Linked DNA regions of Arabidopsis thaliana. The protein of the gene in region 3 interacts with the protein of the main gene of each other region in a pairwise test. Each region holds a gene or a part of one and is shown on either strand. Other genes may lie near its edges. The genes, in order: AT3G61180, FBP7 and AT4G13530.

Evidence for each region.
Region 1: the proteins of AT4G13530 (region 3) and AT3G61180 interact in a protein complementation assay, tested with the Arabidopsis thaliana proteins (one large-scale study listed by BioGRID).
Region 2: the proteins of AT4G13530 (region 3) and FBP7 interact in a protein complementation assay, tested with the Arabidopsis thaliana proteins (one large-scale study listed by BioGRID).

The regions. Positions count from the first base shown.
Region 1 is NC_003074.8:22,643,573-22,647,328, reverse strand, and holds the start of AT3G61180 (RING/U-box superfamily protein), read right to left. Parts: upstream 1,838-3,756; 5' UTR 1,650-1,837; coding exon 1,105-1,649; intron 905-1,104; coding exon 785-904; intron 690-784; coding exon 557-689; intron 476-556; coding exon 311-475; intron 216-310; coding exon 39-215; 3' UTR 1-38. Other genes in the region: LCR53 (low-molecular-weight cysteine-rich 53), read left to right, coding at 2,538-2,586, 2,681-2,859.
Region 2 is NC_003070.9:7,647,228-7,650,983, reverse strand, and holds the start of FBP7 (F-box protein 7), read right to left. Parts: upstream 1,791-3,756; 5' UTR 1,661-1,790; coding exon 1,651-1,660; exon of another isoform or gene 1,473-1,650; coding exon of another isoform or gene 1,463-1,472; intron 1,265-1,462; coding exon 1,181-1,264; intron 1,089-1,180; coding exon 976-1,088; intron 882-975; coding exon 668-881; intron 534-667; coding exon 460-533; intron 366-459; coding exon 312-365; intron 217-311; coding exon 109-216; intron 21-108; coding exon 1-20. Other genes in the region: PDIL1-1 (PDI-like 1-1), read right to left, coding at 2,470-2,679, 2,756-2,868, 2,960-3,197, 3,294-3,431, 3,743-3,756.
Region 3 is NC_003075.7:7,864,181-7,867,936, reverse strand, and holds the start of AT4G13530 (uncharacterized protein), read right to left. Parts: upstream 1,610-3,756; 5' UTR 1,130-1,609; coding exon 443-1,129; intron 1-442. Other genes in the region: SMAP1 (small acidic protein 1), read right to left, coding at 3,287-3,475.

The DNA.
Region 1 (3,756 bases), on a different chromosome or scaffold from region 3:
CATTCCACAAAGATTGAACAGCAAAATCTTTCTCCTCATCACACTTGTTCACTGCCACTAGGTTCACCATTTTTGAGGATATTGAATTTGCAGAGAGGGCAAGTAGCGTTGATCCTTAGCCATTTGTCTACACATAAACTGTGAAAATGGTGTCTACAAGGAAGCTCCCTTAGTTCTACTCCATCTTCATAAGCACATAGACAAATGCTGCATTCCTGCAATGGTTTTTTTTTTCCGGTTTTGCTAAAGTCAGTTCAGTGTCTTTATCCAAATTCGATAGAAAATGGGAGATTTGATTATGGTTACTTACAGCATCTTCGCTTAATAACATACGTTCGGTTTGAGACTCGGTATCTAATCCAGTCATTATCCCTCCTTGAGTTTCCCGTATTTCGCCATTCACTTTCTCAGAATTCTTTACTGTGAGAAACTTGAATTTTAAAAGCCTCTCTATCTCTTCATCCGGTGCACCTTCCTGAAATTTACAAATCGCTTAATAGGATTCACCAAGAAACATGAGACTCATTTGTTCTTCATCATCATAATGTTTCTTTACCTGATCTGCTAATGCGTACAAGATCGCAATGATGCAAGGTAAACAGCAACAAACAGCAATACCAATAAGACTAGCAACCGCTACGCAAATGACAACAAACATAACATCAAACGCAAGGAATGCAACACAGAGCCTGCAAAACACACAAGAAACAAAGATTAAATAAATCACAGAAACAAACTCTTGAGAATACAAAATCACAACAGCCAACTTTTGTTAGAAACAAACCAGTAGAGTTGTGGCGAAGATTGAGCTAGTGCCTCGGTATCAGCCGTCACCCAGTAAAACCCGATGATCCACCACACAAAAGAGAACATGGTATTCGCAGATTCAAGGTGCTTAGTGAAACTAGAATAGGAAACAAACCACATGAGAGTAGATCAATGGGAAACAGTTCTCATTCAGTTCTTTATTTCTATACAATCCTAAAAGTTTCCTTCAACCTAACATGGCTCTGAATTCTAAGCTAGTATAAGTCTATCACAAGAACCAACATTGCTCTGAATCTAAGCTAGTATAATGCTGTAGCCATAAGAAAGAAATTGAACCTAGTTCCATGGTCATCATCATCAGTGTTGTTAATGCTATAGCCATCAGATTCATCTTCACTTCCGCTAAGAGACTCGTGATTGGAGGAATCTTCACCACTAGGAGGAGGAGAATTAGCAACACGGCGACGTTTATACTCAGCAATGACACATCCAACATGAAACAAACACTGAACATTATACCCAATGATCCACAACCTAAGAGGAACATCAGGATCTTCATCAGAACTAAACCCTAGAATCGCGATTGAAACAATCACAAATAGGAAATTCCAAAGTATATCGAGAACTATAATGGGTTTAGAGTAAGCCCATTGACTCTGCCGTTCCTCAAGCTGCTCAGCCGCCACCTCACGGACTCGAACGGAGGGCTCACGGAGCATCATCCGGCGGTTGCTAGCACGGCGGAGAAGTCTCGACGCCGCGCCACGAATCGGCTGAGAGGACCGTGGGCGGTTACGTCTGTTCCGGCCAAGAAGCGGCGAAGCGTCCATCGTATCAGTCGTCGGAGAAGAAGATACGGTAGAAGGGATCGATTGATTCATCAATTAGAAAGATTGGATCTTGGGTAATCGGGTTGATCCAGAATCTCGATGGATCGGGTTTGAATTCGCTGGAAATCTGTCGACTTTGCGGGGTGGATGATTCTAGGTTTCGAGGACCAGTTTCTATCTAATGGATAATTGACAAAACGACAAGAGAATGTCTTGTCCCCAATAAACGTTTTGATATCATGAGACTACAGTAGTTTTATTCTTCCGGGAAATTCTAAAAAAATACATAAACTTAATGTAGTTGCTCAAATCTTTTTATTTTCCAAAAGGACTTTTTATATTTTTGCTAACATTTTTTGTACCCCCACAATTTGTGTTATGTTAAGTTTATATCTAAATTATATCATTGTAGTAGACATACTTTATTTTCGAGGTTTAAGGCTCAATTCAATATCTAAATTTTGAGAGTTTAAACTCCAAATATGCGTATTATAGTTAGAAGGGGATTATTTGATGGATCCTTACAACTTATTTTTTAAAGATTAATCCAACTTATTGTACATGAAAATCAGAATTGTAAGATAATTAACTGGATTTTATTTACATATATTTTATAGATAAAAATCTATGAGAATGCACCTTGGACCATTCAATGTATTACAAATTTTAAAATTATTAGTTGTATATATAAGAGAAGCTCTCTTATTTAATTTTATTTTAATTGATTTTGTAAATATCCTTCCTATGTTTATATATTTTATGATTTTGTTTCCATTCCCACCATCTAAATAACTATTTATTTATTGATTTTGTCTACTTTTTTTTATTCATGTACATACTATATGTATATATTTAATTTCTTTTATATATATATAATGATATTCACATCTATATTATCATCAACATTTCTGGTTTTTTACTCTAAAATTTTTATCAAAGATGGCTAAATCCACCATATTCGCTATTTTCATGATCGTCTTCGTTCTAGGTTTGCGTTACATATACCATTCTTTAAAACATTTAATACATCTTTTTGGTTCTATGAAGATTGTGTTTAAAGCTTATGTTTTAATATTTGTTAGGGATGGTAACGAAAGAGACGAAAGGACAAGAAATGTGTCGTGATCTTTTAATGAGAGCTAAAAACTGTGACGATAGCACTTGTGCTACTCTGTGTAAGCAAAAATGGAAAGGAAATGGATCGTGCTTCCCAAACGTATATAGAAAAAGCTGCCTCTGCACATTTCCTTGCAAAACTTGAACTCTTACAAAGTCAAATTGTAATTTATAATAGTAATAAAATAATGATAATAAAACTAATGATAATGACAATGTCACAATGATAATGACATGAAATAAAATTAAACTTACACAATGTCTTATATTATTATATAAATTCTGATTTCATTTTCTTATTTCACATGAACTATAAGCTACTACTTGAGCATATGAGCTTCACAGGGATGGATCATGGATATAACAATTATTTTACAAAATTAAAACATTGGTATATTTGAAACAAAAGTCTTAAAAACACATGAATGAAAGCGGAATGAATAATCTTAGTTATTCCTTATCTAAATTAAAAACATATACATATTCATTAACTAAATAAAATCTGACCTACCAAAAAAAAAACAAAATCAAATCCAATGGTTTTGATGTTGGGCAAGAAACAGGAAATCTAGTTACAAAAAAGAGGTTTTCTTTCATATCTTATTGTTGAATTAGATGGCATTTAAATCAAAAGTTTATCTCATTCTAAAAGTGTTATTTGAATTCAATTCTATTTATATTTGAACAGATTACTTTCTAAAACACTTACTTCCATTCTCACTATCTCTTGACTTGTCCATCTTATGAATATACAGTTTATTTGGATTTTTATTTTCTTTCTAATTAATATACTTGAATGCTTTCCAAATCAAATGCGTCCAACTTTTTTTTCTATTAGGATTGATTGTATATTAGACACGTAGACACACAACTTCACACATATATATAAAGATGATATTTACAAGTCACATATATTACAAAAACCCTCATTTGGTTTAAGATATTAAAAGAACTTCAAATCCTTTTTTTATAGATAAATATCAATGAGAATGCAATTTGGACCATTCAATATATTACAAAATTTAAATTATATATATATAAA
Region 2 (3,756 bases), on a different chromosome or scaffold from region 3:
TACAGAACAGCTGCTTCGATCTGCAAAAAGAACATGTTTTTCAGTAATCAGGATTATGAAGATGTAATGTTGTTGATTACCAGCCAAAAGGCAGTAGAGGGAGCTAACCTTATCATCCGACATTGACAGTGTATAAGTGCCTTTGTAAAGATTTTCAGATTTAGAAGCCTTAAAGTTCATGTACTTGGCAACATCCTTCAATTTCTGTGAAGAGTTCTGAAGGAATAACAACAAATACGGATGGATCATTATCAGACTAGATCCCACCAGTAGCTCAACGTTTATACCTACTTATATCGAAGAGTGCAAACCTTGTAAAGAAATCTGCCAGAAGGGTAGAACCTTATGTAGCGGTAGTAACAAACCTGCAACAAATTTTCCAAAAGAAGACGCAGATTATTATATGTGTCTGTATTGGACAGATGAAGAAGAAAAGAAAGAAAAAGACAAAGACTTTACAATGTGAACTGGATTTGTAATCTTCCACTCAGCAATTCCAGCTCGAATGTAAGTATTCCTACTCACATAAAGACCTGAGAAGAAGATACATAGTTACTTTAATCAATAAAGATATAACAAGACACGATGTTAGTCAGAGCATACAAAAGAAAACAATCACTTGGCGCTAGAATGTCGTGAAGCAAGAGGATGAAGAAAGAAAGATTACCATCAGTACGAACTCTGGATCTAAGAAGCCACATTTTCCTCCATGATCCATCATATTTAGACTGCAAGATCTTATAGTTTTCGATAACCCCAGCAGTCTGCCAAGCTTTCAAGCAGGCATTACGCCAGAACATAGGGTTTCGAACTGTGTACCTCCACTTTCTACAAACACAAGATGCTCTACCTAAGTCATAAGGCATCATCCGAGCAAACACCTACAAGTAACATATCCAAGAATCAACTTCTCCAGTACATAAGAAAAACAAATTTCAGTACAATGACAAAACATAGTATAAAGAAAGCTCCAACCTCGAAAAGAAGCTCATCAGGCAAGCAACGATGAATCAAAGCTGGATCAAAATGAGGTTTACGGCTTGTACTTCCGAATGGTGGCACAGGCCTCACATGGACTCCATAAAGATCTGTAAAATGTAACTCATTACAAACCATAAACCCAATTCTTGATAAGATGAAAACAGACAAGAGAATGAGTGTTAAATGATTAGAGATGTACCAAGCCAAGGCCTTTTTGTAATAAAGTATTGTACAGTCCTGAGCCGCAAGGCAGATTCAAGCTCAGATGGTATAGTGAGAGCATCTGTGACAAACAAGCACCAATGAAATCAAGTTTCTTTCTTTCACAAAAGAATCAATAAATAGCTCACAATTTCACCTTGAAACTCAGTGATAGCATCAATACAAGTTCAATATGAATAAATTAAAAACCTTTCGTTTCTCAATTTTGTAATTGAACACATTCACGAGACTACCAGATCAATCTCTAAATTATTTTCACCTCCAATCATACGAGTTTCGAAGGATACTCAAAGCCAAACGGTTCCCATCATAATGATTTTTGAATGAAAATATAGAGAAAGTTTAATCAACAGAGAAAATTTCTCAAAATTGATCTGTTCTCGGTGTCATGTATTGATCTGATTCAATTCGTCAAAATTAATAAAATTGAATCCAAGATTGCAATACCTGAAGTCATGGAAACTGAGAGACGATTTGAAAATACAGCGATTTCGTAGCCGCCCGTGCGAGCTCCCTGTTACCGGGAAAAAAAAAGAAGAAGATAGAAACAGAGACTCTTTCTCTGTCTTTTTTTTAATATTATTTTATTGTTTTCTCGAGGTTCACAAAATTCAGACAAACAACGAAACCGACATTTCTGAGTTAAATCAGTTCAAGGTCGGTTTCAATATCTTTAACCAATTGGTTTAGTTTAACTGTTTCTCGTTCTTCCATTAGATTGTTTAGTGAAAAAACTGAAAGTATTAGGACCAAAAAAGGAACAAGCATGTTGAACAAGTCAATAAAATTGTAAATGTTGATAAACGCTTGGACAGTAAAAGTAACGTTTGATCTCCTCGACGATCTGCTTGAGTTTCCTTTCTCTCATACTTTCCTCAACAACCAAATTAGCCTTTTGTTTTCTTTTCAAATAGTGGAACCAATTAAGAGTCAACTAGTATATTATCTTGGTATATGCTTCAGAATTAATATATTTTTAGTGTTAGAACTCGTCCCAAGAAATGCCTCAAAAACTATATTAAAGGAGAACTGAATTCAAACAAAAAAAGGTAACATCAACCAAAAAAAAGAAAAGGAGGCAGCCATTATTGTTCTGAAGAGTGCACATATAAAAACCTAATGAATAGATAAAGAGATTCTCTCTGTCTGTCTGTCGTCTCTCTCTCTCTGTCTCTCAGTCTACTCAATGCTCTGTCTTCTTCTGTGTATTTTCCTCAAAACTACCAAACTAAGCTAGCAGCTAAGAGACACAACACACTTCTCTTTTCAGAGCTCATCCTTGACTTCCTCAGTTGTCTCTTCCTCCTTCTTAGGCTCTCCAACTGTGTCCTTGTTCTTGTCGACGAAGCTTATGAAATCTTCCTTTGTCCTGTCTCCTTCGTAAACCACAACGTTTCCGCTCGCTGATTTGAAGTAAATGGTCGGGAATCCCTTCACATCAAAGGTATCTTTTGGGAAGTCGTTTGCGGTTGCATCCTGGACAAGTGAAAGAGTAAGAATCCGGTGATCAAGAACAAATACTCTCAAATGTGAAGAAAGAGAAAGGACTTACTAGCTTAGCGATGACTACACTTGAGTCGCTTTGGTACGACACAGCAACTTCGTCCAAGATTGGAGCAAGCTTTTGGCAGTGTCCACACCATGGAGCATAGAATTCAAGCAAAACTGCAAGTAAATAGGAGGAATGAAAACTGATTTATAAGTTTTTGCTACGAGCAAACAGGTATTTGTGATTTAACAATGTAAAGTAACTCACCGTTCTTTCCAGAGTTTAAGACAATGTCGTCAAGGCTGTCAGAAACAACAACCTTCACTGGCTCGTTGTTTTCGGCTGGGATAGGTTGAGATTTTTTGTGGGGAGCAATTTTTCCATCCTTGAAGTCCTTGACCCATGATTCAATCTGGTCAACCTCAACATTTGTTTTCAGGTATTTCTTGTCGTCAGCAGTCTGGATGATGATGAGAGGAACTTGGCTCTCTTCGAGTCCAAAGTACTGTTAATGGTTTAGAAAGGAGAGAAATGTGTTCAGCAATTTGAAACCAATGCTACCTTGGAGATAAACGATTGAAGATAGAAGAATAAGACTAACCTGGAATGCACCTTGGCTGTTCTCAGCATCACCTAGAAGGAAGCTAAGACCCTGTCCCTTGTTGGATGTAGCAACTTCACGGTACTTTGATTTAAGAGACTCAGCTCCTTCTCCAGTGAAGTTAATGAACAACATCGCCTGAAAATCAAAATATTGCAGAGACTGAGGATTCTTGAAGCTTTTACTGAGAATATTCAAAAAGTAAATTATAGACACTAGAGTCCGACTCAGCTAATATGGCACACACTCGCAGCTCCTTCCATAGCCATAACATAATTTAGTACGAAATATCAACTTTTACAAATAAACTCATTTCAGAATTTTCATAAATTTAAACATAATTCTCCAGTAAAATTAAATGGCATAATATGAATCCATCTATGTAGTATATCATGAACTGGTTACAGCATAATGGAATTGAGATATTTGATAACTCTAGGATGAGTTACCTTGGTATTAGTGC
Region 3 (3,756 bases):
CAGAGAGGACGGACAAAGAAATAGATCACCCAGGTGGTATTCTAACGACTATTAACACTGCTCTCACCAACTACACATTCTATGCCAAAAGTATCTATCAAGAACTCAACCGATGCAGTGGTGCTATATCAAAAACCCTTAGCAAGATAGTGTAAATGGGTACGAGTGTATGCCTGTTGGTGAATACTATGACCTCGAGTCGCTGGTTGCATCTAAACTACTTAGCAACAAGAAACTGGTCCCAGGACAAACAAGGGGATGATCTGATCTTCTCATTTTCCCCATCAAAACAACAATTGACACTAATAAAACATCTAACTAAGCAGTAAAAGTTGAACTAAGCAGAGCTCATATCACACCAAAAGATCATACAGTAACCACATGACTCATGAATCAACATACTCAAAGAACAATAAACAATCAAATAAACCAAGCTAGTTACCTTATCATCCAAAAGAACCTTAAGCTGCAAGGAACGAGTCTTCTTCTTCATATTGTACAATCTACGCCCTAACATAACAAAACCCACAAATGCTGCAGCCATGGACAAAGACCAAATAGGATTAATTTTCAACACACAATACTTCAACACCTCTATTGGAATTTTCCACCACACAAACCCTTTCTCTTCTCCTCCTCCACCACCAGATTTAACACCAGGATCAATAGAAACAGAGTTTCCTTCTCCTTCCACTGGATGAAGTAAAGATTCTTCCTTTCTCTCATCAGAGCTTATCAAATCCATGTCTTGAGCTATACTTTCACTATATTCAACAATACCCACTTCGTTTCTCTCTATACCCATCTCGTTATTCACATCATCATCCACTAACCTCTGATCATCAAGCCGATCACTGCTTGAATCAGACCATAACTCACTAAAATGCTTCGGACCATAAGGAACATCGGAGCTAGGTTCGATCCATCCTGGACTACCCGATTGAACAGACCCATCTTCATCGTTTGCCTCCAAACGAGACAAACCACTCTGGTTCTCAAGAGAGAAATGATCAAACCTAATCATACCTTGCGTGCCATCATCAATCTCCTCCAAGCTCCTCGAATTGTCATCTTCCGTGGTAGATCTCGAGCTCTGAAGTATTTCCCAGTCTTGAATCTCTCCTTCCATGTCAAAGTTAGGGGTTTTTTCGATCCAATTGAGGAAAAGAAACAAAAGGAGTCTTTGTGTTGGGGCGAAAACAGAACCGAAACGCTTCTTTCTCTGTGTGGAGATCACAGAAACACTAGGTCGTGGTGTTAACGTGGCGTGGTGTGATTGGATAGAGGATGAAGTCAAAAGAGTGGTTTCGTTGACGTGTGGGTTTATGATAACTATATGGATTGACAGTGTATGTTGTTACGGTGGGCCGAGAAGTAGAGGACCTTCAACCGCTTTTGCTAATCAGATATGCTCAACTTGAAACTGGAGGGAGAGGAAGCAAACACGTCATATAAATGCATTTTGTGAAGAACATCATAATTTATTGATACCGAACCAAATCCAATAGAATGTATTTTTACTTTTTACTATTTTACTTTTCGTTTTTTTACTTGTTTTTTCTCGTTCAAATTAGGTGATCGATGAATTGATAATTTAATTGTAATCCGCGTAATTCATATTCCTTCGGTTCTATTTTGTTGATTTTGAAGAAAAAAAAAATTGTTTCAAAAAAATTGATTTTTTAAAATTTTTATGTAATATTTATTAGTTTTTATTAATGAATTGTAAACTTTAATAAAAATAATTAAATTTTATTGGTTTAAAGTGATAGAAAATTGTAAAACACAAAATATAATATATTTAAAATCAACTTTAATATATTTACTTTTGTGTGTTTTTTTCTAACAATCAAACAAAAAAAACAGAGAAAATATTTATTTATTTTTGCTAAGAAACATAGGAAATATTTAATATTAATCGAAACCCAACTTTTTTTTCAATAAATGTTTAGCGTTAATATCATAGTTTAACAAACATTCTTTTTTATAACTCAAAATTTTAGAGTTTAGTCATTAAACCAAGATGTGGAGATTTTATAAAGGTTGAGGTAGGGAGGAGAAGAAAGTTAAGAGGCTCATGGATGGTGGCTTGCAGAGATTTGGGAGTTTTTGAGAGAGTTGATGACGTGGCAACTTGAGAACACATTTGTTAAAAGGCTGAGGTGGGTAGTGTGAGAGGCCTCAAATAACTTTTTTTTTATTAGTAAGAGATTCTGAAAAGAGGTTACCGATATCTAATGAATTGCTATCGAATGTTGAAATCTCATGAAATTTGGCTACACTACATACATACGACTATAAGGCAAGTAACAAAGACTGCTAGGGACTGACAAAGTGACAAGTGACATCTTTATGCTTAGCCTCCTTTTCCTTTCTACCATAGTTGAACATCAAGCACATTATTTCCATCTCAAAACCGGCCCAGAGAATATAATATGACACGATGCAACAACAGAACTTGGCCAGGGGAATTATACACCCCCTCCTACATACCACAAGACAGGAATTATACACCCCCTCCCACATACCACAATACAACACACATTCAGAGACCACGAGATGGTGAATTTACAAGAAATCAACATGGAACAAGATACCATATCCATATAAATCATTGACTGATGTATCTGAGTTACATGGAAGATACAAGAGACTATTTCTCTTAGGCCATTAAATTGTTGGTAGGAATATGTGCTTCAGTATGAGTTCCCTAGTTCACTTAATCACTAGTGGAAAGTTACAGCTTACATGAGGATTTCATCTCTCACCGGGAAGTTTCTCTAGACCCGGTGAGTCACATGAATATCAACACAATGAAACACATCAACACATATTTCAGAGACCTCAGATGTTGAAATTACAAGCAATCACAATGGAATATGGTACCAAATGAATCAATTAGTTTCTATCTTAAGCCAATATCAATAACTTTCACATTCTTCACATACAAATTCACAACATTCTTCACATACAAAGACTCTAATTTTCAGTTACTAAAATACCAAAACACTAAAGAAAATTAGGTTTCAATCTCCAAAAAACATCATCATCTCCAGAACCAAGGAAAAAAAAAACATTCTAAATTTGAGCCAAAAAAAACAATCAGACAAAGCACAATAACACACAAATCAAATGTTTTAGTAATCCAAATGAAGAAAAACATTGTTACATACCACAAACATAAAAATCCCAGAACTTATTACACACTTACTACATAGGTTTCTCCACAAATTACATCAAGTTTAGGAAAAAAAACTGAAATCTTAAAGAGGAAACTTAACCGGATTTAGTTGATATCGGTGTCATCGAAATCATCATCGAATTTGTTGAAGAAATCGGCGTCGGCGAGCTTGTTATCTGAGACAAGTCCTCCTTCGTTGAGTATCTCCATGGCTTCGAGGTCATCAACGTCCATGGCCATCGAAGAACCTGCATCATCCATCTCCGATAACATATCCAGCTGCATCGGCCTCATTTCTCTCTTCGTCTCTTCTTCGTTTTCTTCTTCGGGAAAGATCTAAAATGTTACAGTGACTGACTGTCGAAGTTTTGATGTTGAGGTCATTTTCTTTTAGGCCTAAATGTTGTGGCCCATCTTTATCTTCTTAGGCCCAATTGATGTGGCCCATGTTAATTTTAATCGTTCATTTTTCGTAGTGATTTTTAGCTGAATCTGTGGATTTTTTTTTTTTTTTTTAAGATACATCAGTTGAGGAATTGGCTGAAAAGTGGAACTAGAGGAATTTTTAGAATTTT